Linked DNA regions of Pelodiscus sinensis. The protein of the gene in region 2 interacts with the protein of the main gene of each other region in a pairwise test. Links are inferred from orthologs where the notes say so. Each region holds a gene or a part of one and is shown on either strand. Other genes may lie near its edges.

Region 1 (7,807 bases), on a different chromosome or scaffold from region 2:
CCTGCACCCTCCCTCCCTCCTAAAACCTTCACCTCTACCCCAACCTGCACCCTCCCTCCCTCCTAAAACCCCCACCCACTCCTGCACCCTCCCTCCCTCCTAAAACCTTCACCCCTACCCCAACCTGCACCCTCCCTCCCTCCTAAAACCCCCATCCACTCCTGCACCCTCCCACCCTCCTAAAACCCCCATCCACCCCTGCACCCTCCCTCCCTCCTAAAACCTTCACCCCTACCCCAACCTGCACCCTCCCTCCCTCCTAAAACCCCCATCCACTCCTGCACCCTCCCTCCCTCCTAAAACCCCCATCCACTCCTGCACCCTCCCTCCCTCCTAAAACCTTCACCCCTACCCCAACCTGCACCCTCCCTCCCTCCTAAAACCCCCATCCACTCCTGCACCCTCCCTCCCTCCTAAAACCCCCATCCACTCCTGCACCCTCCCTCCCTCCTAAAACCTTCACTCCTACCCCAACCTGCACCCTCCCTCCCTCCTAAAACCCCCATCCACTCCTGCACCCTCCCTCCCTCCTAAAACCCCCATCCACTCCTGCACCCTCCCTCCCTCCTAAAACCCCCACCCACTCCTGCACCCTCCCTCCCTCCTAAAACCTTCACCCCTACCCCAACCTGCACCCTCCCTCCCTCCTAAAACCCCCATCCACTCCTGCACCCTCCCTCCCTCCTAAAACCTTCGCCCCTACCCCAACCTGCACCCTCCCTCCCTCCCTCCTAAAACCTTCGCCCACTCCTGCACCCTCCCTCCCTCCTAAAACCCCCACCTGCTCCTGCACTTTCCCTCCCCCCCCCCCCCCGACCCAACAACCTACCTCAGCCTGCTCTCCAGTGGCCCCCTCCATACACTTGAACCCCTCTTTTGCCCTACCCTAGAGCCTGGGGGACCCCACAAAATCTGCTAGCACCAGGCCCCCAGAAGAGTTAATCCAGCCCCTTTTCTCTGCTTTTTTGGGGGGGCACACGTGTGAGGGAGAAGGGGTGTGTGTGGTGCCTTTCCTCCTCACTTGAGGGGCTAGGTCAGTGACAGTGGGTGGGCAGGGTTATCTTGGGGTGGGGGGGGGGTTGCTGCTCCCTTGTGGGCAGCGGCCCCTGACCCAAAAAGGGATTCCAACCCCTGGCTGAGATCTCGGCCCGTAAGCCAGGACTTTCCACCCCACTGAGTCTCCCTCCCCTACACACATTCCAAGGCCATCTGGCCCTCCAGTGCCCTGGGCCTTTGCAGACATCTCTCGGAGACTCTCTACCATCCAACTTTCCGCTGGGCCCTGGAAGTCCTAGGGCCACCAGCCGTGAACTGGGGAATGGGCCGGATCAGAGCCTTGTGCCTTTGGCTGCCCTTTGAACCTCGCCCTGATCTCTAGACTTTGTCCGTCTCCCAGCAGCCCACGTGTGGGCCGGGAGTGAGTCTCCGTGGACAGTCGCTCACGTCACACACAGAGAGCCCATCGGGGCTGGTATTCGTTGGCCCCTTTGTTACCCTGGCTCAGCAGAGGACAAGGACCGAAGGGGCCAGCCCTCCCCTGCAGGGACCCAGGACTGACCCACACCGGGGCAGTTAGCCCCACCTCTGCCCACCCTGATCTCTAGGGAGGGGATTCCAGCCCCTCGGGCTGTTCGCACATTGTGTGGTTCCCTCTGGGGACTCTTCCCAGCCCAGAGTGCCACCAAGCAGCCCCCTGGGGTCAGGAAGATCCGTCCGGATGGACAGGATCAAGCATAATTGTCCCCGAGGGGTTTCTTCCACTGCCTTCAAAGCAGCTAGTGCTGGCCCCTGTCGGAGACGGGACACGGAGCATGGACTTGTAGTAGGACCACGAGCCCCCAGGCGAGAGCGGAGCCCTCTCAGGCCAGCCTGGGCAGACAGTGGGAACTGCTCCCTTGCCCCAAGGAGCTCACAGGCCCCCTAGAGAAGAGAGAGAGAGTGGGAGGGGAAAGAGGCCAGGGAGGGGAAGGTTACGCAGCTGGCCGATGGCAGAGCCGGGCAGAGAACCCAGGTGCCCCGACTCACGGCTCCCCATCGGTCCTTTCTCCACGGATCTCACATTGCCTCTTCTCTCTTTCCCCTCCCTTCCCCCCTTCTCCCCCCGCCCTGGCAGACAAGCTGGAGAAATGTGCCGGCATCAGCCTCTTGATTCAGAACACCTCGTGGCTGCTGCTCCTGCTCCTGTCCCTGCCGCTCCTGCAAGCTGTGGACTTCATGTCCCTGTGAACGGAACAGGCGCCCGCACCGACCGGCCGAGCCCCACCGCCCAAACGTGGCCCTTTGCAAGAGAAGACGAAGAACGATTTGAAACCAAGGAAATCTCTCTGTGTATATCTCTCTATATATCTGTATAGCTACCGGTACCGCCTGCCCCCCGCTGCCATCACACCACATGTCCAAACCACGCTGGGGGCCGGGGTGGGGGGGTTTCTAAGCAGTATTAAAGGATCCGACGCATGGTGGCCTTCCCTTGCTCTCTGCTAGATGGTGCAGCTTCTTCCATAGCCAGTTTGGTGGTTTGTTTTCAGGGGCAAGGGTGCAGCTTTGCTTGTCCTGTTTTTTGTCTTTCAAGGAGGAGGAGACCCAGGGGGGCCCCTGGACCTGACTCTGGTAAGAGAGATGATCACAGAGTTAGGGAGCGAAGGGGGCCTTTTAGCCACACCCCAGCCTGGGAACGGCTGCTCGCTCTGGAGTGGAGGGGTGCCCCTGTGGATAGGTTTGGCCTGGGTTAGCCAACCTCAGGCAAAGGGAAAGCTTTTGGGGGGGGCTGTGCAGTAGCTTTTCACCCCGGGGCAGCTGGGCTTGACTCCTGCAGGGAGAATAATTTAGGTGAGCGCTTATTCTGTTCTTTAGCAGCCATCAGTCCCCCATTGCACCAAGCCATGGTCCTTGGCACTGCTTGCTTCTCCAGCGGAGGGAAGGGCCAGCATTAAAACAACAAGGCATGATGTTGAGTGGGCGGGGAGGGTCATGCTACATGGAGCCCCGACTGCAGCCACCACAAGGGGGTGCTGCAGGGCTCGTGTGGGGCGCAGGGCCGGACTGGTCAGAGGCACCAAAAGAGCAAGGAGCTTTAGGACTGAGGTGCCACTGCAGCCCTGCCCACGCAGAAAGGCCCATCGCTCCGGGAGCAAGCCCTCCCCCGTAAGATCAGAGGCTGGCGGTTCGGTTAGGAGGTTGGGGGGAGAGAGGAATTCGCCCCACGGGAGGGAATGCAGGAGACAGCGGTTTCACCAGAGTTCCCTGCACAGCCACTAGCTGGTAGAAACTCCTTGCTCAGCTCGCTGTGGGATTTCCAGGCAGAGGCAAGTGCCTTTCTCCCCAGCAAGCAGGAGGGAGCAGCTGCCTGCCAGTCGAAGGTCCAGCCACGGGCCTGGGCAAGAGAGGATCTACCAGGAGGGTGGGGTGCTGCCGCAGCCCACATCTCTAGAACCAGTCAAAGCTACTCTGTTCCCCCCTCCCGCGCTCATTAGCACACGTGGTTGTCTCCCCCTAGTGGTCATGGGTAGATGGCAGGAGCAGGGGCTGCCCCCAAGCGCCAGGCTCTCATCCCTGCATGCCGCCCTCTGGGTTTGTCCCCTGGTGCTAGTGAGACGGGCTGGCTCAGCTCCTTGCCTGGCCTGGCTTTCCTCCTGCAGCGTAGTTTCCCTCCAGCATCGGGCTAGCGCACGACCGGCCAGAGGGCAGGGGGGTGGCAGTCTTCCTCCCTGGCAGGTTGACGGGCTCTGGGCAGGCCTTGCCTCTCCGCAGGAGCCGAAAAGGCCACGACAGGTGTTTCTTGTGGCCAGCGGTTTGCTGTGTGACAGGCACCCCAGACTTAGAGTCCCCAGCTTGAGGCCAGAGCAGGGAGCTTCCAGGATGGAGGCCTAGGACTTCCCAGTGAAGGACTCTCCTGAGCCCAGCTAGCCAGCAGGGGGGGGCTTCACCTTGCTGTCCCCGGACATGGTCATCTCCCCTGGGCCGAGCCGCAGGGCGAGGGAGGAGCAGAGGTCCCCGGCCGGCCCCTGCTGCACACGTGGGGCCGTGGGAAAGCAGGAGGATGGGAACGGACCTGCGAGCTGGGGGGGGGAGCCGGAAGGGCTAAGGGTGCCCGGCTCTGGGGAGTTGGACCCAGCCCCTGCTCGGCTCGAGGGTGCTGAGTGTGAGACAACCGCAGTGCGGCGGCTGGCTCCGGTGAGCCGCTTTCCCGCCAGGCCCCCTGCTCGTTCGCTGTCCAGTGCGCTCCCCTGCCCGGCTGTCCGGCCCTGTGCATCTCCCCCTGACGGCAATGGCGGGGGAGGGGGCGGGGGCAGACCCAGGCACCCCCCACTGGTGTTTCCTAGTCTCGTTGCGTGACCATTTGTCGTGTTTCCACAGCTTGGTGTACAAGAAATGCTGTTGGGGGGGGGGGGGGGAGGAGGACCAGACCTCTGCACAATAAACCCCTGGTTGTGTGTTGGATTCCCAGCGCCTCCTTATTTCCGCCGGGGGAGGGGGGGGGCAAGAAGCGCTTTGTGTTTCCTCTCCCGGGGGGCAGCCGTCAGGACGGGCCTGGCGCTGGCCCGCCCTCTAGTGGCGACAAGCGGGACTGCTGGGCTGTGTGTCCTAGCCCCTCTACTGCCGGGGGAGGAGGGCGCGCTAGGGGCTCTGTAAACGGCCGCGTGCGGGCTCGCCCTGCCTGGCTGCGGCCTCGGCCCCTCGCTGCTCCCGGGAGCCGCACGGGCGGGGGCCCGAGTAGCATCAGGGGCGGGGATCCCCGCGGTCCCGGCCCTACGGGGCCCGCCCGGCAGCAGCCTCCCCGCCCCGCGTCAGCTGCGCCCCGATTGTGACATCAGCCTCGGCCGGGCCCCGGCGGCTGCACCAAGGTGACCGGCGCCGGCTCATCCCCGCCCAGAGCCAGGTGAGTGCGGGGCGGCCCCCCCCCCGGTTCTGTGCGCCCTGGGGGGGACCTGGTCCCCCTGGCACAGTGCCAGCCCCACCTGGGGGGGATCTAGGGGAGCCCCCCCCGGCACAGTGCCAGCCCCACCTGGGAGGGGATCTAGGGGAGCCCGCCCCCCCGGCACAGTGCCAGCCCCACCTGGGAGGGGATCTAGGGGAGCCCGCCCCCCTGGCACAGTGCCAGCCCCACCTGGGAGGGGATCTAGGGGAGCCCGCCCCCCTGGCACAGTGCCAGCCCCACCTGGGAGGGGATCTAGGGGAGCCCGCCCCCCTGGCACAGTGCCAGCCCCACCTGGGAGGGGATCTAGGGGAGCCCGCCCCCTGGCACAGTGCCAGCCCCACCTGGGAGGGGATCTAGGGGAGCCCCCCCCCGGCACAGTGCCAGCCCCACCTGGGAGGGGATCTAGGGGAGCCCCCCCCGGCACAGTGCCAGCCCCACCTGGGGGGCATCTAGGGGAGCCCGCCCCCCCGGCACAGTGCCAGCCCCACCTGGGAGGGGATCTAGGGGAGCCCGCCCCCTGGCACAGTGCCAGCCCTACCTGGGAGGGGATCTAGGGGAGCCCGCCCCCCCGGCACAGTGCCAGCCCCACCTGGGGGGGATCTAGGGGAGCCCGCCCCCTGGCACAGTGCCAGCCCCACCTGGGAGGGGATCTAGGGGAGCCCGCCCCCCGGCACAGTGCCAGCCCCACCTGGGAGGGGATCTAGGGGAGCCCGCCCCCCTGGCACAGTGCCAGCCCCACCTGGGAGGGGATCTAGGGGAGCCCCCCCCGGCACAGTGCCAGCCCCACCTGGGGGGGATCTAGGGGAGCCCCCCCCTGGCACAGTGCCAGCCCCATCTGAGGGGGATCTAGGGGAGCCCCCCCCGGCACAGTGCCAGCCCCACCTGGGGAGGATCTAGGGGAGCCCACCCCCTGGCACAGTGCCAGCCCTACCTGGGGGGCATCTAGGGGAGCCCGCCCCCCTGGCACAGTGCCAGCCCCACCTGGGGGGGATCTAGGGGAGCCCGACCCCCTGGCACAGTGCCAGCCTCACCTGGGAGGGGATCTAGGGGAGCCCGCCCCCCTGGCACAGTGCCAGCCCCACCTGGGGGGGATCTAGGGGAGCCCGCCCCCCTGGCACAGTGCCAGCCCCACCTGAGCAGGCTCTAGGGGCCATGTGGCCTTATGGCGCAGTGAGGCTCTGTGTCTGTCAGGGTTCCCTCCCCCCTAGGCCATGCCCTCTGCTTCCCGCCAGCCTCCACCCCACAAAAGCAAATCTGGCCAGGCCAGCCCCGGGGGGTTGTGCCAGCCCCGGCTCGGCTCGGCTCTGTATAAGCGATGGGCATGGGGCTGGGGCCTCGCTGAGAAAATCTCTTCCCCCACTCAGCCCCTGCCAGAGTCATCTGGGTGTTAGGGGCGTGCCCCATCCTGCGGGCGGGGGGCGGGGGACGGGGGAGAATGTGACACGGCTGCTCCCCTGCCCCACAGCAAAGGCAGGGTCTGGGCAGAGGGAGGCCTGGGCACGTGCCCAGTCTGCTTCATTCCCCCAGATCAGCGCCAGCCCCCCAGAGCCAGGCCTGCAGCCCCCCTGCGTGCGCGTGCACTCGTGCCTCGCCGCACGCGCACCTGGGCCGTGCCAGCACGCCCTGCGGGTGCACACGCACCTCCCTGTGGCCCCGGGATCCTCCAGCTCCCTCCCCCAAGCCGTGGGCGAGAGGGGCCGTCCGGCCGAGTGCCTGTCTCCGGCGCCCGTGAGCAGAGCTGCTGAGCTGACTGGGCCCGAAGAGAGCAGGCTCCCTGAGCACAGCGGGAGGAGAAACATTCTCCCGGCTCAGGGTGGAGCTGCTGGAAAAGGGGCCTTCCCCGGTGTCGCAGCGCCCGATAGATCCCTGGCATCGTCCCGTGGGCCCCCGAGGGATAAAAGCGGCCCAAGTGTTTTCCCAGCGCCATACCTGGGCTGTAGCATCCAGGTGAGGGGAACAGGGAGGGAAGTGGCAGCTTAATTGCATCCTGCCTCGTTACTCACAGGACTGAGTCACTGCCCTCCGCTGCTCCCGAGCAGCCCCGATTCACGCGGGCACTGACTTCAGGGGAGTTACACCAGGGTGACGCTGACCCTGGGCCTTCTGGCCAGGCACCTCCCTGGCTCTGCTGCCTGCCAGGAGCGGCTGCATCCCTCTCGCTGAAGAGCCCTGGAGGGGCAGAAGGGGGCGAACGGCCTAGCTTGCACAAAGCTCCCTGGGCCCCATCTCCTGCCCCCAGGAGGGCCACCCCACTGCTGTCAGGCCAAGCAGAGGGGGTGGAGCTCTCACAGAGGATCCCAGAAGCACCCACGGGTGCCATATGGACCCCCGGCCCCTCGGGGTCAGCGTGGGGCTGTGCACTGTCTGGGCTCCTCCTCACCATCTCCTCCCGGGTCCCACACTCAGCACCGTGGCATCTGCCTGCCAGGAGAGCAGGAGGGACCATGTCCCAGTCCACTGCTTTCCTGGGGAGGATGCTGTTCCTCCCAGACGGAGCTGGGCTGGGTGCCAGCAAGCAGCATTTCTGGGGTCCCTTGTGGGCAGTTGCCTGCTATTCATCCTTCTCCCCAGCAATCCTGTCTCCCCTCCCTTGGCCTCAACCCCTCTCTTCCCTTCTCCCCTTGTGTGGTTCCCCCTCACGCCAGCCCCCCTCTTCTCTTCCCCCCACTCCAGAACCCGTCCCCTCGAAATCTGCTACAACTCCCTTTTGCCGACTCCCAAAGCTTCTCCTTCCCCCAGTCCGCCTCCGCCTCCTCCCCTCCCCGGAGCCCCCTCTCCAGGCCGGGCCCGGCCCCCAGGACACGGGAACCCCTCTCCCGCGCTCTGTGCAGCTGCCTCTTTAAGCCTCCCCATGCTGGAATGCGAGAGGAGGGCTCCAGCTCCCTGTGA
Region 2 (7,884 bases):
GGGATATTTAAATCCCGGGCTTCATTTGCGAGTTCGAATGCCTACATTAGCTACCCTCGTTCGAACTAGTGTGGCAGTGTAGACATACCCAAACAGATTTATTAGGGCATAAACTTTCATAGGTAAAACCCACTTCATCAGATGAGTTGGAGTGGAAGCTACAGAGGCAGGGGTATTTATATGGCGTTAACGAAGCCAATCAAATCAGGGTAGAAGTGGCTCATTAACTGCATTTGGTATGGAGATGTGAATATTAAAAGAGGGGAAATTGCCTTTGTCGTACATTAACCAGTTCAGATCCTTACTCGGTCCTGAATGGTATTGAATTTGCAAATGAGCTCCAGTTCAGCTGTCTCCCTTTGTAAGCATGTTTTGAAATTCTTCTGTAAAAGGATGTCCTGGGCATTCAGTCATGGATTTGAAAGTAGCCATCCTTCTACAAAAAATTTCAAAACCCAATTACCAATGGAAAGCTTATGCCCTAATAAATCTGTTTGTCTCTAAGGCAATGTCTACACTGCACAGTTATTTCGGAATAAGCTATTCTGGAATAGTTATTCCAAAATAGCTTATTTCAAAATAGCACGTCTACACTGCAGAAAAGCCTCAAAATTAGTCCGAGGCAGGCTTCCCTAATGTAGATGTGATACATCGATTTAGAGCCCCAGGAGGAATAACTTAGAATGGCCCTGGTGAGGGGCTATTTCGAAATAGCAGCAGCTATTTCAGAATAGGTGTTATTCTTCGTAGAATGAGGTTTACAAAAGTCAGAATAAGCTGTCCGTTATTTAGAAATTATTTCAGAATAATGGAATTGCTGTGTAGACGCTCACATAGTTATTTTGAAATAACTCCTGTTATTCCGAAATAACTTTGCTGTATAGACACACCCTAAGGTGCCACAGGACTCCTCGTTGTTTTTACTGAGCACAAAATCATACTCACTTCAGCAATAACACTACAAATATTCCACAAGCCACATAACGATAATCAGTGCTTTTTTTTGTGATGGTACTGCCCAGTACGCAGAGCTTACCTGGAAAGAACAGAGAGTACCGGCACCTCTGTAATGAAAATGGCTAACAGTTGGCTGGGTCTTAAAGAGTACTGGCACTTTTTTTTTTTTTTTTTTACAAAAAAAACACTGATGATAATGATATAGAGCCATAGTCTGAAATCTTTACTTAGTTTTTACTCAGACAAACTTTCACTGTATGTCATGAGAGCTTGCCTGAGCAATGACTGAGTAAAATGTGGGAAATAATTTTAACATCTGTCCCACAGCGAGCATGGCTACAGTAAGGACTGGTGTTGCATAAGGAACAAACTGAACTCACCAGAACCAGTTCCATCAGATATGCATTCTTGACTGCAATATAAACTGCAGAATAGTGATAGAAATGTACATATACACTGCAGTGAGCTGAAAATTGCAGTGACCCCAGATAATTCCATGTCAAGAAACTCTCAAATTCACATTTTCCTACGTGGCAGTAAACAGTCAGACAAGAAAGACCATTTGGAGCAGAAGAGGGAAAAGGGGTAATTGACAGGCATGCTGTGGTTAATGAATGTTCATTTGGATTGTATTAAAGTGTAATTGAATGAATACACTAAAAAAGTCTGGCAAGTTTCAATGTTCTTTTTAGTAGATCGTTTTTCATAGCACAAAATCATCACAGTTGTGACTGTCCGCTCAGAAAAATCCCTTAATTTCATTAGCTGGAATGTTGGGGTCAGAATTGATATGCATTACCAAAACTTTATGACAGAGCCAGTGCTATGGGAGTCGCTTTCATTAAGCATAAATGTTTAGAGAATTCTCAGATAAGGAGAAATAAGCCAGTTAAGTCAGGCAAGTTAATTCTTATTTTACTTGCCCAATGGAGTGCATAGGACTAAGTGAATCTACAACAATCGAAATACATCTGCGATTGGTGCTTTTGGATTAGCCAGGCATTCTGCCCCAAGCAAATATTTAACCTACAACTGTAAAACCTCTGGGCAGATAACTACAAAAGCCTGGCTAAAATTTAACTCCCTCACTTCTCCAGACAAACAACCTGATTATATATATATTAAAAACACAAAAAACAAAAAACCCCTAATCCAGAAACACAGATAGGAGCAGAATTAAAGTCTCAACTCTCCTTGTTGAAAATCCTCACCAGAAAGATCAATTGTAATGAGACTGTGTCTCTAGAGACCATTTCATTACAGCCTAGCTCATTATTAGAGTTTTACTGCAGCATAGGAACCTTCAACTGTGAGGAGGTTTTTGGGAGCAGCTGAGATATGATTTGCCAAATCCTATATAAAATTAATAAAATAATAATATTCTGTATCTCTACAATATCTTTTATCCAAGGATATCAAAGCTCTTTACAAAGATTAAGCTGCTTGTGAGGCATTTATACTCATTTTAAAATGCACAAACTGAATGGATTAAACCCAGTGGCCCAAATTCTAAGATATGGCCAACTTGCATTCAACACAGCTCAGGACTCGGAAGGGAGTATTATAAAAGTAACCTGACCACCTTTGCATACCCATATTCAGGTGGCCAATGGATCAAAATCCAGTTTAATCCACAGCATAAATCAGCAAACTTTAGGACTCTGGTAGCTTATGATGGCTACTTAGGGTCCCGAGGGTGCATTCCAACAGATGGGGGTCACTGGAACAAAGAGATGCTTGGGTCAGACCCCTTTTCTGTGACCATGCCTTGCACCAACAACCAGTATCAAGGATAGCATGGAGCTACTATGGCAGCTCTAAACCACTCAAAGAGTCACAAGCACACTTCATCTATACAACGTGTCATTATTACACTAGTATCGAAATAACATTTCTCATACAGAAGTTGAACATAACCTCACAGACTGACAAGCAACGTATCACAAAGCTGCCTTCGTGCAAAAGCTGCAACATTCAGAGGATTGTCTCTGCTCCTGTTAAGTGACCTACCTTTTAATTTTGTCTAATTTTTCAAACTCCTCTGAAACAGGATCTCTTGTATATGACCACTGATTAGTCTTAATGCTCTAGATCTGTGCACTATACCATGTCCGTTTCTTCTCTATCCCTGCTAAACAACGTGTCAGACATGCATGCCTGTACAGCATAGTCCCAGCTTCATGCCAGCTCTGATGGCTGCCTAGGAACCACGAAATCAGATATCGCCCTGAGGAAGAATACACAGTTCATCCAATAGGTCATTAATGTTTCATGGCATAAACTAATGAGGGCTTCTGCTTATGAAGCACTCCCAGAAAAAAGGTTAACAAGGAGAGCAAGATATGGCAAGTGTAAGCCTGTGCCGTAATACCATAGAGATATATTCCAATTCTGATGTGAAAGGACCCAGCCCTGAGAGGGCAATTTGATTACTAGGGGCATGTCTACAGTAGGAAATTATTTCGAAATGATTACATTTGACTTAACTCCCAATTTTACAAAAATCAAAATAGCATTCCCACTACGAGGAAGCCTCGAAATTAGTCCGAGGCAGGCTCTGTTAATGTGGACATGCTACCTCGTCTCGGAGCCCCAGGAAGCACTGGGGAGTAATTCATTTGAATGCCTCTGGGGAGGAGTTATTTTGAAATAGCAGCACCAGAGTGTCCACACGAATGCTATTTTGAAATAACTCTTTTGAAATTAGCATTATTCCCCCAGGAAAGCAGGAATGCACATTTCAAAATAAATGGCCAATTATTTCAAAATAATAGGCTTGGTAGTATGGACTCTCTGCTTATATAGGAAGCCCCCAACTTGCGACGCGATTCGTTCCGGAGGAAGCATTGCAAGTCGGGGGCGTCGTAACTCGAACCTGCATTTACAGCAGGCACCGTGCGCCGTCGTAAATGCAGGCTAAGGACGTAAGTCGGTGGTTTCCGGCCCCTTCCACACTTACAAAAATGGTTGTAAATGTGGGGGGTCGGAACTCGGGCGGTCGCATCTCGTGGGGCCTCCTGTAAATTTGACCTAAAGGGGTTATTTCAAAATAATGCCCAAGTGTAGACCAGGGCCAGATTAATTCACTTCAAGACATTTTCACAAATACCAGCTTGAGACCACACTTTTCTAAATAGCAATTCATGCAGTCTCCTCTCTAGCCTCAAACAATTATCCTTAAGTCTTTTAGTGATGTGCTAGAAAGCACCTTCATAGATGAACAGCAGCAGTTTTCTGTGCCTGACAATGCTTTCCCAGAACCAACAGTGAATCAGGTGTGTCAAGTGCCTTAGCTACAGATTGTGCAATATATCTTGAAGTATTATTAAATTAGCTAATTAATGGATTTTTTGTTTTATTTTGGAAGTGAAAATGGTAGGAGTAAGAATTAATCAGAGACTCCCCAGAGCACATTTCCAGTAGTACATTAAAAAGATACAGCCAATCTATAGGACAGATCTAAAGATTCTGCTTGTCACTAATCTGTTCAAATGCAGTACTATTTTTCCTGCACCTTTCTATTCTTTCTCTGCTGAAACAGACTTTCCTGAAGACAGCTGTGGTAGAAGACAAAAAGCTACTATTCCAGTCATCCTAGGTATCTATGTTAGATTGCATCCGGTTTGTTTTGCTATGTACATCTAATGAGAGGGCAGTCCAACGCCTGATGCTAAGTATCATGAGTCTGAATCACTAGACTTCATGCAATGAAAAATAGAGTCAGTAAATTACATTGCACAGATGTTGAGTCATGGCTGGAAAATTAATTCAGTCTCATAAAACACTCACAGTTCAATTCAGGAAATGTTACTGCCAGAAATTAAGTGATCGTTTTGAGAAATGCACATCAGTGTAAAGTACATAGTAACTAGGGCTATGTCTAGACTGCAGGCTTCTTTCGAAAGATGCTCTTTCGAAAGCATCTTTCGAAAGAGCATCTTTCGAAAGATCGCGTCTAGACTGCAGGCGGATCTTTCGATAAAGGAAATCCGCTTTTTCGAAAGAGAGCACCCAGCGAGTCTGGATGCTCTCTTTCGAAGACGGCCTCTTTACATTGAAGAACGCCTTCCTTCGAAAGAGGAACTTTCGAAGGAAGGCGTTCTTCCTCGTGAAACGAGGTTTACCGCCATCGAAAGAAAAGCCGCGTTCTTTCAAAATAATTTCGAAAGAACGCGGCTTGAGTCTGGACGCAGGGGAAGTTTTTTCGGGAAGGCCTAGGTGGCACAAAGCTCTTTCTGCTATGAGGTTTTAGAATCTGATTTATGCTGTTCATCAAGACAGTCTATTAGGGTTAAAAAAAATCCAGCCTGTATAATGAAACACATTGAGTTCTTTCTTGTAGGGCCCAGATCATCTCCAGATGTGGGGACATGGAATTTGGTAACTATTATGAATTGTAAGCAAGAAAACGTGTGAGGTTTATTTTATATGTAACCAAGAAAGCTACATCTACACTGTGGCGCTATTTTGGGATACTGAAGGTATCCCAAAATAGCTGTCCCATGTCTTAGCAGCACACCCATTATTTCAAAATATAAGGGGGTCACTATTTGGACGTCCCTGTAAACCTCATTCCACATAGGGTTGCCAGAAGGTTTAACCAAAAATACCGAACACCCCCCCAGACACACACAAACACACACACACACACACACACACACAAAACCACCGGGAAAAAATTCTGTTGAGAAAAAAAAGGGGTGCTGCACCTTTAAATGACCCTGCACTCCTCACTCCCCCATCCCCACCAGATGCAGCAGGAGAAAATTGTCCCGGCTGGGCTTCTGTCAGAGGGAAACAGGAAATACCAGACAGGGCAAAAACTGGACACCTAGCAACCCTAATTCCACAAGGAGTAAGGGGTGTTTCGGAATAGCAGGTTATTTTGAAATTACAAAATAAGCTATTTTGAAATTCACTTGAAATAAGCTACGTAATTTGCGTTGCTCAAATCGCATAGCTTATTTCGAGCGATGGGTGCAATGTAGATGCACCTGAGCAGAATGAACACAGCATTATATTAGGATTTACACATAAATCTTCTTCGTTGCATTTAAGAGAGAGGCCAATATTGCCTATGTTAATGAAACAGGTATATCCATGCAAAGAAAAATGTGACAGAAGATAATATATAAAACTGTGATGGGTGTTTATTTACATCACACTTTACAAGTACAAATTCAAAGTCATATACGCAAAACACAGCAGGCAAATAATAATTATAGTATGCAAATGGGCAATCAGAACTAGGGTATTTCCCAACAAAATTAAATAGCATTGCTGTTGAATTGCTTTGGTTGCTAAATATTGGTCACTAGATATTGGTCTGCTTGCAGAACTATGAGGTAACACTACTTTTGCTGCATTGGCATTAATACCTACAGCTGCCATTAGGGGTCAAGATAGTCAACAACTACTAGGAAATGTTGCTGAGAACATTTTCTACCAGCTGTAACAATTTAGTGTCTCCTGAGAAAAGTTTACAAGCATCGAGTAATTATTACTGGTTGCCTGTTACTGTTAATCAGCAGTGTAAACAAGCTATTATAGTACAGCATCATTCTTCAGCTTTTATGTCTAAAGTTCCCAAGTGTAACCTGTTAATGAGACCAAAACACTGTAATAGCAGATATCATGTACTGCTGCAACAGAAAGTGTATGTCTCTACATCTCACCACGCTTTTCAATACCAGGTAATTTAAATTACTCAAAACAATAGGTATAAAGTAGAAACCTGTAGGATTATTTTTAAAAGGTCTGTTCTCTAAAAACTGCAAATAGGTTATTTTGTTTTACATAGTTTTTGTGCCATTGGTTAAAAATTAACTGCTGTGATACCAGGGAAATGGTAAGGCTCAATTTATACTATATGGCTGTGCAGGGGCATATGAGAGAGTAAAGTCTCCCCCCATGCAGCCTCCCCAGGATCTAGACCCATAGGGATAGGTACTTTATAGCAGCTATTCCTCGCTGAGCAAGAGGGTGGGAATGCATGCCGGGTGAAGTGTTGCAGGGCTGGCGTTGTATTTGTTATTGAGACGTGATCGCTTTCCTGTGGGCCTCTTGGTGCAAGCTACACACATAGGCTACGTCTAGACTGGCATGATTTTCCGCAAATGCTTTTAACGGAAATGTTTTTCCATTAAAAGCATTTGCGGAAAAGAGCATCTAGATTGGCACGGACGCTTTTCCGCAAAAGCACTTTTTGCGGAAAAGCGTCCGTGCCAATCTAGACGCAGTTTTGCGCAAGAAAGCCCCGATCGCCATTTTCGTGATCAGGGCTCTTTTGCGCAAAACAATACCGTGTTGTCTACACTGGCCCTCTTGCGCAAATGCTTTTGCCCAAACGGGAGCAGCATAGTATTTCCGCAAGAACACTGACAATCTTACATGTGATCGTCAGCGTTCTTGCGGAAATTCAAGCGGCCAGTGTAGACAGCTGGCAAGTTTTTCCGCAAAAGCTTTTGCAGAAAAACTTGCCAGTCTAGACACAGCCATAGAGTGTGTGCTTATACATGTACAGGTTCACCTGTATGCTAGCTCTGATTTCCACATGAATGGAGCGCTACTATTTACAGATGAAAGAACAGCCACAAATCCATTGCAAAGTCCCCCAAAGTTAAATTAATAAAATGTACTTAATTTTGAGTTGGTTGTGGAGTCAAACGGGACCATCTCACCTTCATTTTTCTTGCTGTATGCCATGAAATATACAAACAAATGTACCCAATATGCACAAATGTATTGTGCTTTATCTTAACTACAATTCAGTACATGGATTTCAAGACGGGAGACTTTAGCAAACTCAATGAGTTGGTAAAGTAAGAGCCAAGGGAAGCAACATTAAAGGAAAAACAGTTTGGGAGAGTTGGCAGTTTTTCAAAGAGACATTATTAAGGGGACAAGAGCTAAATATCCCACTGCATA
Region 3 (8,033 bases), on a different chromosome or scaffold from region 2:
ACGTGTCTCCCTCCGCCCCCAGTTCACCCTGTTCTCGAACTGCCGCCCGGCCGACCGCACCTTCCGCGCCTCCAGCTCCAGCTTCTTCTTCCTGCTGGTTCTGCTGCTGGGCCTGGCCATCTCCTGGGTGCCCGTCCTCTACAGCGTCTTTGTGTGAGTGCCCTCCCCCGGCCCTGTTCCCACAGTTCTCTGGGGTCTCCACCCCCCCTCAGCTCCCTGGGGTCCCTGCCCCCCCTTGCCTAGCCCCCCTGGCAAGGTCCCCCACCTCCTCCCCAGCTTCCTGGGGCCCCCACCCTCTCATCTGGTCCCTGGGTCCCTGCCCCCCCTTGCCTAGCCCCCCCTGCAAGGTCCCCCACCCCCTCCCCAGCTTCCTGGGGCCCCCACCCCCTCATCTGGTCCCAAGATTTCCCCGCAGCTCCATGGGGTTCTCTGCCCCCTCACTCAGCCCCTCAGCTCCTCTGGTTGCCCCCACCCTGAGAGTTCTCCCCCCCCAGCTCTGGAGTGACCCTGAGAACCTGACCCCTCCTGATCTTCCCCCTCCACAGGTCACAACTCCCCCCCTCCCCTCCCCTGACCATCCCCCAGGATGCTGCTGCTGCTCCGCCCCTGACCAGCACTGGGTCTGGACTCTGCTCCCCTCCCCCTCTGCTTCCAGCTCACACTCTCCTCCTCCCCCCCTCCCCCGCAGCCTCCAGCCCTCCCAGGCCTGTGGCCCCTTCCGGGGTGAGCCGACTATGTGGAGCATCCTCTCGGCAGCCGTCGACGCCCTGCCCCGCGTGGCCCGGGAGTTCCTGCAGTTTGTGGGCTCGCTGGCCTTCGCCGTGCCGCTCTTCCTGCTGCTGTGGTGAGGGGCCACTGCGGAATCCCCCTGGGCCGGGGGCGCTAGGGGGGATAGGACACACAGGGGTTCGGGGGGAGGGGGGCAGGTCTGACCCTGGACAGCAGGGACACGGACACACAGCAGGGCCTGTCCCCTCCAGCAGGGATGGACGGACAGACACACACACAGAATTCTGTGCTGGCTCCGCAGATAATCCCCCTTCTGACATTCCCCCCTTGCCAGGTCCCTGCCTCACGGCCCCTACCCCCCATCTCTCACGAGCCTCCTGACCTTTGCTCTTCCCTTCCCCCACTGCAGCATCCTCATGTTCTACCTGATGGCCCTGGCTAATTCCTACAGCCGCCTGGTGAAGGAACTCAAAGGGCAGCTCCGGCTGGTGAGTGACGTCAGGGCGCCTGTCCCCTCTAGGGTGGCTGGCTGGCTCAGAGAATGGGGCCCAGGGCCTTTCCCCTTTAGGGGCGTTGGCTCCCCTCTGGCCTCAGGGTGAGGACTGGCTGGCACAGAAGGGCGGAGATTGGGCCCCGGGGCTTTTCACTGCTGCGGGAGAGCCGGTTCCCGTCTCAAATCACCGTTAGCCGGTGGGACTCCCTGCTGCAAGATGATCTGCCTGGCAGGATGGGACACTGACAGGGATAAATGAGGAACAGTGTACGCCCCACTTCGGCCACTAGGGGCTGCCGTGGTACCTGCTCCGAAGTGGATGGGACGGGGCTGTGGCAGAGGCAGGATGCCAGGGTAGAGGGGCCCTCGGAGTGCCCTAGATGGCTGTACTTATTCTCTAGGACAGTGGTTCCCAAACTTTTCGGCATCACGCCCCCTTTTTGATTTTTGAAAAACCTTCACGCCCCCCCTCCCCCAAAAAATAACAGCAAAACTTGTTGAGCAAAAAAAAAAAAAAGGAACTGACCAGGGCAGCAAAACTTGATGGGGGGGGAGGAGGCTGGGTTGCCTCGCATCCCCCCTGGAATTTCTTCACCCCCCCCCAGGGGGGTACGCACCCCAGTTTGGGAACCCATGCCTAGGGTTTCCCCACTGCTTTTTAACCCTTTCTTCTCCCACAGGAGGGGCGGAATAAAGTTTTCTTAGTGACTCAGATCACAGAGCTGAGTTAAGGAGAGCGCAGCAGACGCCACGATTTCCCCTCCCGGAACAAGACAACTCCGCCAGCTGATTTGCGGAGGGTTCTTGACCTAACTTGTTGGACCATCCCTCCCCGGCCAGCGACACCGATTCCCTGTGCGCCGAGACTGCCCCCTGCTGGAGGGGAATGACAGAAACCCCCAAAGAGCCCAGAGCTTGTTTCTGTCCCCTCGCCCGACACGGCCCCTCTGAGGTGGTGCCCAAGGGCATTTATACAGAGACCTGGTGCTAAGAACCAGCTTCTCTTTACCACCAGCCAGCACCACTGTTCAGTTTCAGACAGGAAGTGAAGTAGAACCCGGCGCGTGACTGACATTCTTTCAGGAGAGGTGTTATTCCTTGTGTTTGAAATGAGCCCGGATTCCACACTCCATTCTCGTGTTCTCTTTCCCGCCCCGGGCTAGCCCCACATCCTCCAAACGGTGGACCCATGTGAATCTCCTGCCGCCAGCTGGCTGCAGAACTCCACTGGCGCAGTCCAGGGTAGCTGCGCTGGTATTCCCCAGCTACAAGACCTGATCCGTCTCCCCGTTTTGGCAGAGACCTGCGTCTCTCCCTCCCTGATTGGGGGTTTTCAGGCTGATTTCATCGTACACACACACCCAAACCCCAAAAGAGATACTGCTATTGACAATCATTGGCATTTACAACTAGGCCAAGCCCGAGAAACCCTGCGTGAGAACTTCCCAGCGTTTGATTTCAGGCCCCTTTCTAGGTGTATTTTGTGCCCCAATGATAACAATTTAACATCTTATAAAATTGTAACTTTTTGAGTCTCTCACACCTAATGTTATTAAATCACTGTGTGACGCCCACCCCCAACCTCCTGCCCCAGACATTTTTTAACCCTCTTCTGATTTTTCTGCAGCTGGGAAAAGTGGTGGGAAAAAGTTACAACGAAAGCACCATTTTTGGTTGAAATTAAAAAGTAAAAATAGAATGCTACTTGGTCAAAGGGTAAGTAATCAAGGTGGCCACGGGGGGGGGGGGGGGGGGGGGAGGCCTGGTGTGCAGGGCTCAGAAAAGGGCAACAAAAAGGATCGAGCATTTGGAATGGGTCCCATATAGAATCATAGAATCATAGGACTGGAAGGGACCTCGAGAGGTCATCGAGTCCAGCCCCCTGCCCTCAAGGCAGGATCAAGCTCCGTCTACACCATCCCTGACAGATGTCTATCTAACCTGTTCTTAAATATCTCCAGAAAGGGAGATTCCACCACCTCCCTTGGCAATTTATTCCAATATTTGACCACCCTGACAGTTAGGAATTTTTTCCTAATGTCCAATCTAAACCTCCCCTGCTGCACTTTAAGCCCATTACTCCTTGTCCTGTCCTCAGAAACCAAGAGGAACAAATTTTCTCCTTCCTCCTTGTGACACCCTTTTAGATATTTGAAAGCCGCTATCATGTCCCCCCTTAATCTTCTTTTTTCCAAACTAAACAAGCCCAGTTCATGAAGCCTGGCTTCATAGGTCATGTTCTCTAAACCTTTAATCATTCTTGTCGAAGAGAGATTGAAAAGACTGGGATTTGTCAACTTAGAAACGAGGAGACTAAGGGAGGATAAGGAGAGGTCTATAAAATTATGACTGGTGTGGAAAAAGTGAATAAGGAAAAGTCATTTACTTGTTCCCATAAGAACTAGGGGTCACCAAATGAAATGAATAGGTAGCAGGTTTAAAACAAACAAAAGGAAGTTTTTCTTCACCCAGTGCACAATCTGTGGAACTCCCTGTCTGAGGACAAGGTTCAACAACTAGGCAAATTTATGGAGATTAGGTAAATTTGCTCTCCCCCCTAGTCTCTGTCAGAAGCTGGGAATGAGTGACAAGGGAGGGCTCATTTGATGATTTCCTGTTTTGTTCATTCCCTCTGGGGCATCTGCCATTGGCCACTGTCGGCAGATAAGATCCTGGGCTAGATGGACCTTTGGTCTGACCCAGTGTGGCCGTTCTTACGTTCAGGGCTAGAGGCAAGTAGTGGTGGGTTTGTCCCATCCATCCTGCTACTTCCACTGTTTCAGCGAGTGCTTGGTCTCCTGCCCTAGGGATGTTAAAATGAATGTGTTTATTTAGGTAAACATGTAACCGCTTAAAGTTTCATGGAGGCAGGAGCTGGCTTGTGCGTGCTGCCTGTGAGCATTGGCTCCTGCATGCTTGACTCCCCCCCCCCCCCCCACCTTGCTGCTGCCTCTCTCAGAAGCAGCAGTGGGGTGGATGGAGGGAGGCAGGTGGATCTGTGGGAGCTGGTACGTGTGGGAAGCAGGCTTAAAAGCTGGCTCCCACCTCTCCCCCGACACTGCAGCCTCTGATAAAGAGGGGAAGGGGGGGGGGACTGGGTGTAACTGTGAAGGTTATCCAATGAGCCCACTGTTCACATCTCTGCCCTGCTCTCCCCCCGGCTGCAAGGGAGGCCGTGTGATTCTGTGCATGCTGGGTACCCAGGAAGGGCCATACGGTGTCAGACCAATGGCTGGTCACCTGGCAGCGTCGTGTGACCCGGCTGCTGCCAGAGCTGGGGTGCAGCGCAGGGGGTGGGGGTGAGGGGAGGCTCAGGCTGGTCTCCCCATTGGTGTTGGGGGAAGGGCGGGTCCTGCGGCGAGGAGTTCCGCTGGTTTGCAGATGGGGCTGGCACTGGGGGGCAGACAGAGAAGGGGGGAGGGGGCGGGGGAGGACAGAGATGGGGGAGGGGGCCGGGGTGTCTCACTCCTCTGGGGGGGCAACAGCTCCAGGGTGGGGGAGGGGAGGTGTGAAAATGGGGCCTTGGCCCGTCCAATGGGCTACAAGGGGCTGTGCCTGTGTCCAGCTTGGCCCAATCAGAGCTTGGCTGAGGGGCGTGGCTACAATAGGCCAATGAGAGAAGAGCTCGGGCGGGAGGTTGGATGGGGACCAATCAGGCAAAAGGGGCGGTGCTGCGTTGGGTCTCCAATCAGGGAGCGAGGGCGGGACTAGGACCCGCGAATCAGGATTCAGAGCGGGGGAAAGGGGGCGGCTCTGGAACGCGGAGCTGACCCGGAAGCTGAAGTGGCGCGGCGCCGGGCGGACCCGAGCGGGGACCATGAACATCCTGCCGAAGAAGTCGTGGCACGTGCGGAACAAGGACAATGTGGCCCGCGTGCGGCGGGACGAGGCGCAGGCGCAGGAGGAGCAGCGACAGCGGGAGGCTCGGGCGCTGCTGGCCGAACAGGAGGTGAATGACTGCGCATGCGCACGCCATCAAGCGGCCGCGAGTGCGCATGCGTGACAGTGAACACTCGTGCCATGGGGTCATGGGTTGAACTATTTTTAAGCGTCTGGGGGGGTAAGAACCTGGGTTAAACCATTTCCAAAAGGAGTGAAAACGAAACGGGAGCGGGGCTGAGCCATTTCTAAACGGCGTAGGGATAAAGAGGCAGGGAGCTCTGGGATTTACCGTTTTCAAATATGGGAGGGAAAGCAGAAGAAAGGGGAACTGGGCTGAACCATTTCCAAAGGCAGGGGGAGTGAAGCAGACCAGAAGGGAGCTGGGCTGAACCATTTCCAAAGGCAGGGGGAGTGAAGCAGACCAGAAGGGAGCTGGGCTGAACCATTTCCAAAGGCAGGGGGAGTGAAGCAGACCAGAAGGGAGCTGGGCTGAACCATTCCAATGGGGAGGGGGGGTTGAGCTAAACCATCTTCCATGGGGTAGGTCTCTAATCCCACATGCCTCAGTGGATGGGGGGCTGGCGTGGCAGATGCTGCACCAGTAACATCACTGGCCCCTGCCCACTCTGCCCTTGCCCCAGGTGAGGGGAGTGCGTTAGGCCTCAGCCCCACGGCCCCCCAGATCCCCTGCACTGAGCTCATGGCCACCCGGGCCCCCGCCACCCCCGGTGGAGCTGGCCCCACACCCAGCCCCCAATTCGCCCTGTAGGCACGGACCGAGTTCCTGAGGAAGAAGGCGCGGCTGTCTGCCCTGCCAGGGCCCGATGGCAGCTCGGCGCTGGTCCCCTGCGATGAGGAGCCGCGTCACGTCGACCTCTTCCGGGACCTGGAGGAGGGCAAGGGCTCCAAGGCCAGGAACAAGGAATATGAGGAGGAGAAGCGCAAGGAAAAGGTAAAGGGGGGGTGAGGTGGGGAGCAGCACCTGCATTCTCTGGGAGCTCCACCCTGGCTTACGTTGCCCCCGCATAGCTGCATTGATGGGTGGGGGGTCGTGCAATAGAGTAGCTACACCTGCCCTGTTACAGGAGCTGGGGTACAGCTGAGTTTCAGATCCTGGTGTCTTGGAGGAGAGGGGATGAGGGTGGGTATGAACACAGCTCCCTGTAGGAGGAAGAGGCTGTGTACAGAATTGAGGGCTCCCTCTTCCCCCACAACATGCTCTTACACCACTAGAAGGCAGTGCTGCTCCATGCCCTGCACGCTGGCTCCCCCCATCCACCGGTTCTCCATCCCGTTGGCTGCCCTCCAGTTCCTCTTCCCTCGCTGCAAACACTCAGTCTCACCCAGAGCCATGATCGGCCCCACCCTGCCCCCTTACAGATGAGGCTGCCCCCTCTTCTAGGCAATTCAGTTCTGCTTTGTCCCAACCAGGAGCGCCAGGAGAAGGCTATTGGGCTGCTGACCTATCTGGGGCAGAGCGCCGCTGAGGCGCAGACCAGCCGGCCATGGTACCAGGAAGCCCCTGACCGTAGCCTGGAGGCAGCAGCTGTGACCAAGCAGGAAAAGCTGAAGGGCATGCTGGACCCGCTGCGGGAGATGGAAAGTCACCTGCGCAAGAAGAAAGGGGAGGGGAAGAAGCGCAAGAAGGAGAAAGAGGGGCCAGCGGAGGAGAAAGTGGCAGTGGGGTGAGCTGGATACCGGCAGAGCTAGGTTTCAGTGACCTAGTAAGAGTAGCACCATAGAGGGGATTCAGGGACTAAGAGTCCCAGCATGCAATGCTGCAGGCCACAAGGACTACACTTACCAGCATGCAATTTACTTCCCTTGTTCCCAGCTGCAGGTATATTGGGAAGGAGGTGTGGAAATAGAAGCCTACATGTCCCAGCATGCATCACCTCTCTCCTGCAGAGAGAGAGAGAGAGAGAGAGAGAGAGAATTGCATGCTGGGAGTTGTAGTTCTCATGGACCATGCGGCCAGCTGGTAGCCCAGGGCTTAGAGGTCTATGGTTGCCTTCTGCTTGTCCTTGCAGCTCTGCCTCCCTCTCCCTGGAGCAGCTGCGGCGGGAGCGGCTGCGGCGGGAGCAGGCTGAGCGAGCCCGGGCGGAAGTCCTGCTGGCTGGGCGGCTGGGGGAGCCACAGCCCAAGGAAGAAGAGGAGGCGGATGACAGGAAACGTCGCTACAACTCCCAGTTCAATCCGCAGCTAGCGCGCAGGCCCCGTGCCTGGGACGAGAGGGAAAAGCACTGAGCTCTGGGGGCTGAACAGCAGGCCCTGGGCACAGTGGCCCCTGCACCAGGGCCACATGGCAGGCCCAGCAGGGACACGGGCATCACAGCACGGCAGCCGGTGGGATGTCCCAGCACTGACTGCTGCCCTCTTTGCCACCCCCAGGTCAGGAAGGTTGGCTGGGCCGGGGCCTTAAGAGCCAGAGCCCTTCTCACTTCTAAAGGAGGGTGCTGGCTGCTCTGCCAGGGTCCCATGTTAGACTCTCTCCCCCCTTAGCACCCAGTGTTAGCAGCAGCAGGTACCAGGGGCGACCTGAATGCCTCCAAGGCAGGGGCTCCGGTCACATTTACTCACAGGAGGGGGGTGCCTGGCCTGGCCTGGGTTCCGGCTGCAGCGGTGGAAGAACAGTGCAAAGCCTCAGAATCACTGTGCTCTAGGCCCGGCTTGTGGATTTAGTGGTTGGGGGGGCAAGGAAGTCTAGCTCCTGGCTCTGGGAGGGGAGCAGGGTGTAGTGGTTACAGGAAGGGGGCTGGGAGTCAGGACTCCTGGCTTTCAAGTTCCACTTCTGCCTCTGGTTTCTTATGTCCCCACCCCCAATGGTGCCCACCATGCAGTGTGGCTGCTGAGGAGGCCTGGCCCTTTAGCTATGGAGAATAAAAGGTGGCTCCGTCCCTCCACTGAACCCCAGCCTGTATTGGAGTCC

Evidence for each region.
Region 1: the proteins of KIFC3 (region 2) and USP2 interact in binary tests that used the Homo sapiens proteins (3 or more experiments, as listed by UniProt). The two-hybrid records come from large-scale screens. The link is inferred for Pelodiscus sinensis from reciprocal best matches to the Homo sapiens genes KIFC3 and USP2.
Region 3: the proteins of KIFC3 (region 2) and LENG1 interact in binary tests that used the Homo sapiens proteins (3 or more experiments, as listed by UniProt). The two-hybrid records come from large-scale screens. The link is inferred for Pelodiscus sinensis from reciprocal best matches to the Homo sapiens genes KIFC3 and LENG1.

Annotation. Positions count from the first base shown.
Region 1 is NC_134736.1:5,827,483-5,835,289, forward strand, and holds the start of USP2 (ubiquitin carboxyl-terminal hydrolase 2), read left to right. Parts: upstream 1-4,728; 5' UTR 4,729-4,879; intron 4,880-7,807. Other genes in the region: THY1 (thy-1 membrane glycoprotein), read left to right, coding at 2,114-2,226. UniProt on the Homo sapiens protein: Hydrolase that deubiquitinates polyubiquitinated target proteins such as MDM2, MDM4 and CCND1. Isoform 1 and isoform 4 possess both ubiquitin-specific peptidase and isopeptidase activities.
Region 2 is NC_134722.1:45,848,898-45,856,781, forward strand, and holds the start of KIFC3 (kinesin-like protein KIFC3), read right to left. Parts: upstream 3,103-7,884; 5' UTR 2,968-3,102; intron 1-2,967. UniProt on the Homo sapiens protein: Minus-end microtubule-dependent motor protein. Involved in apically targeted transport. Required for zonula adherens maintenance.
Region 3 is NW_027465849.1:4,029,875-4,037,907, forward strand, and holds the start of LENG1 (leukocyte receptor cluster member 1), read left to right. Parts: upstream 1-4,954; 5' UTR 4,955-5,039; coding exon 5,040-5,171; intron 5,172-5,873; coding exon 5,874-6,056; intron 6,057-6,535; coding exon 6,536-6,789; intron 6,790-7,134; coding exon 7,135-7,351; 3' UTR 7,352-8,033. Other genes in the region: voltage-gated chloride channel TMC4, read left to right, coding at 23-153, 689-844, 1,139-1,217, 1,903-1,953.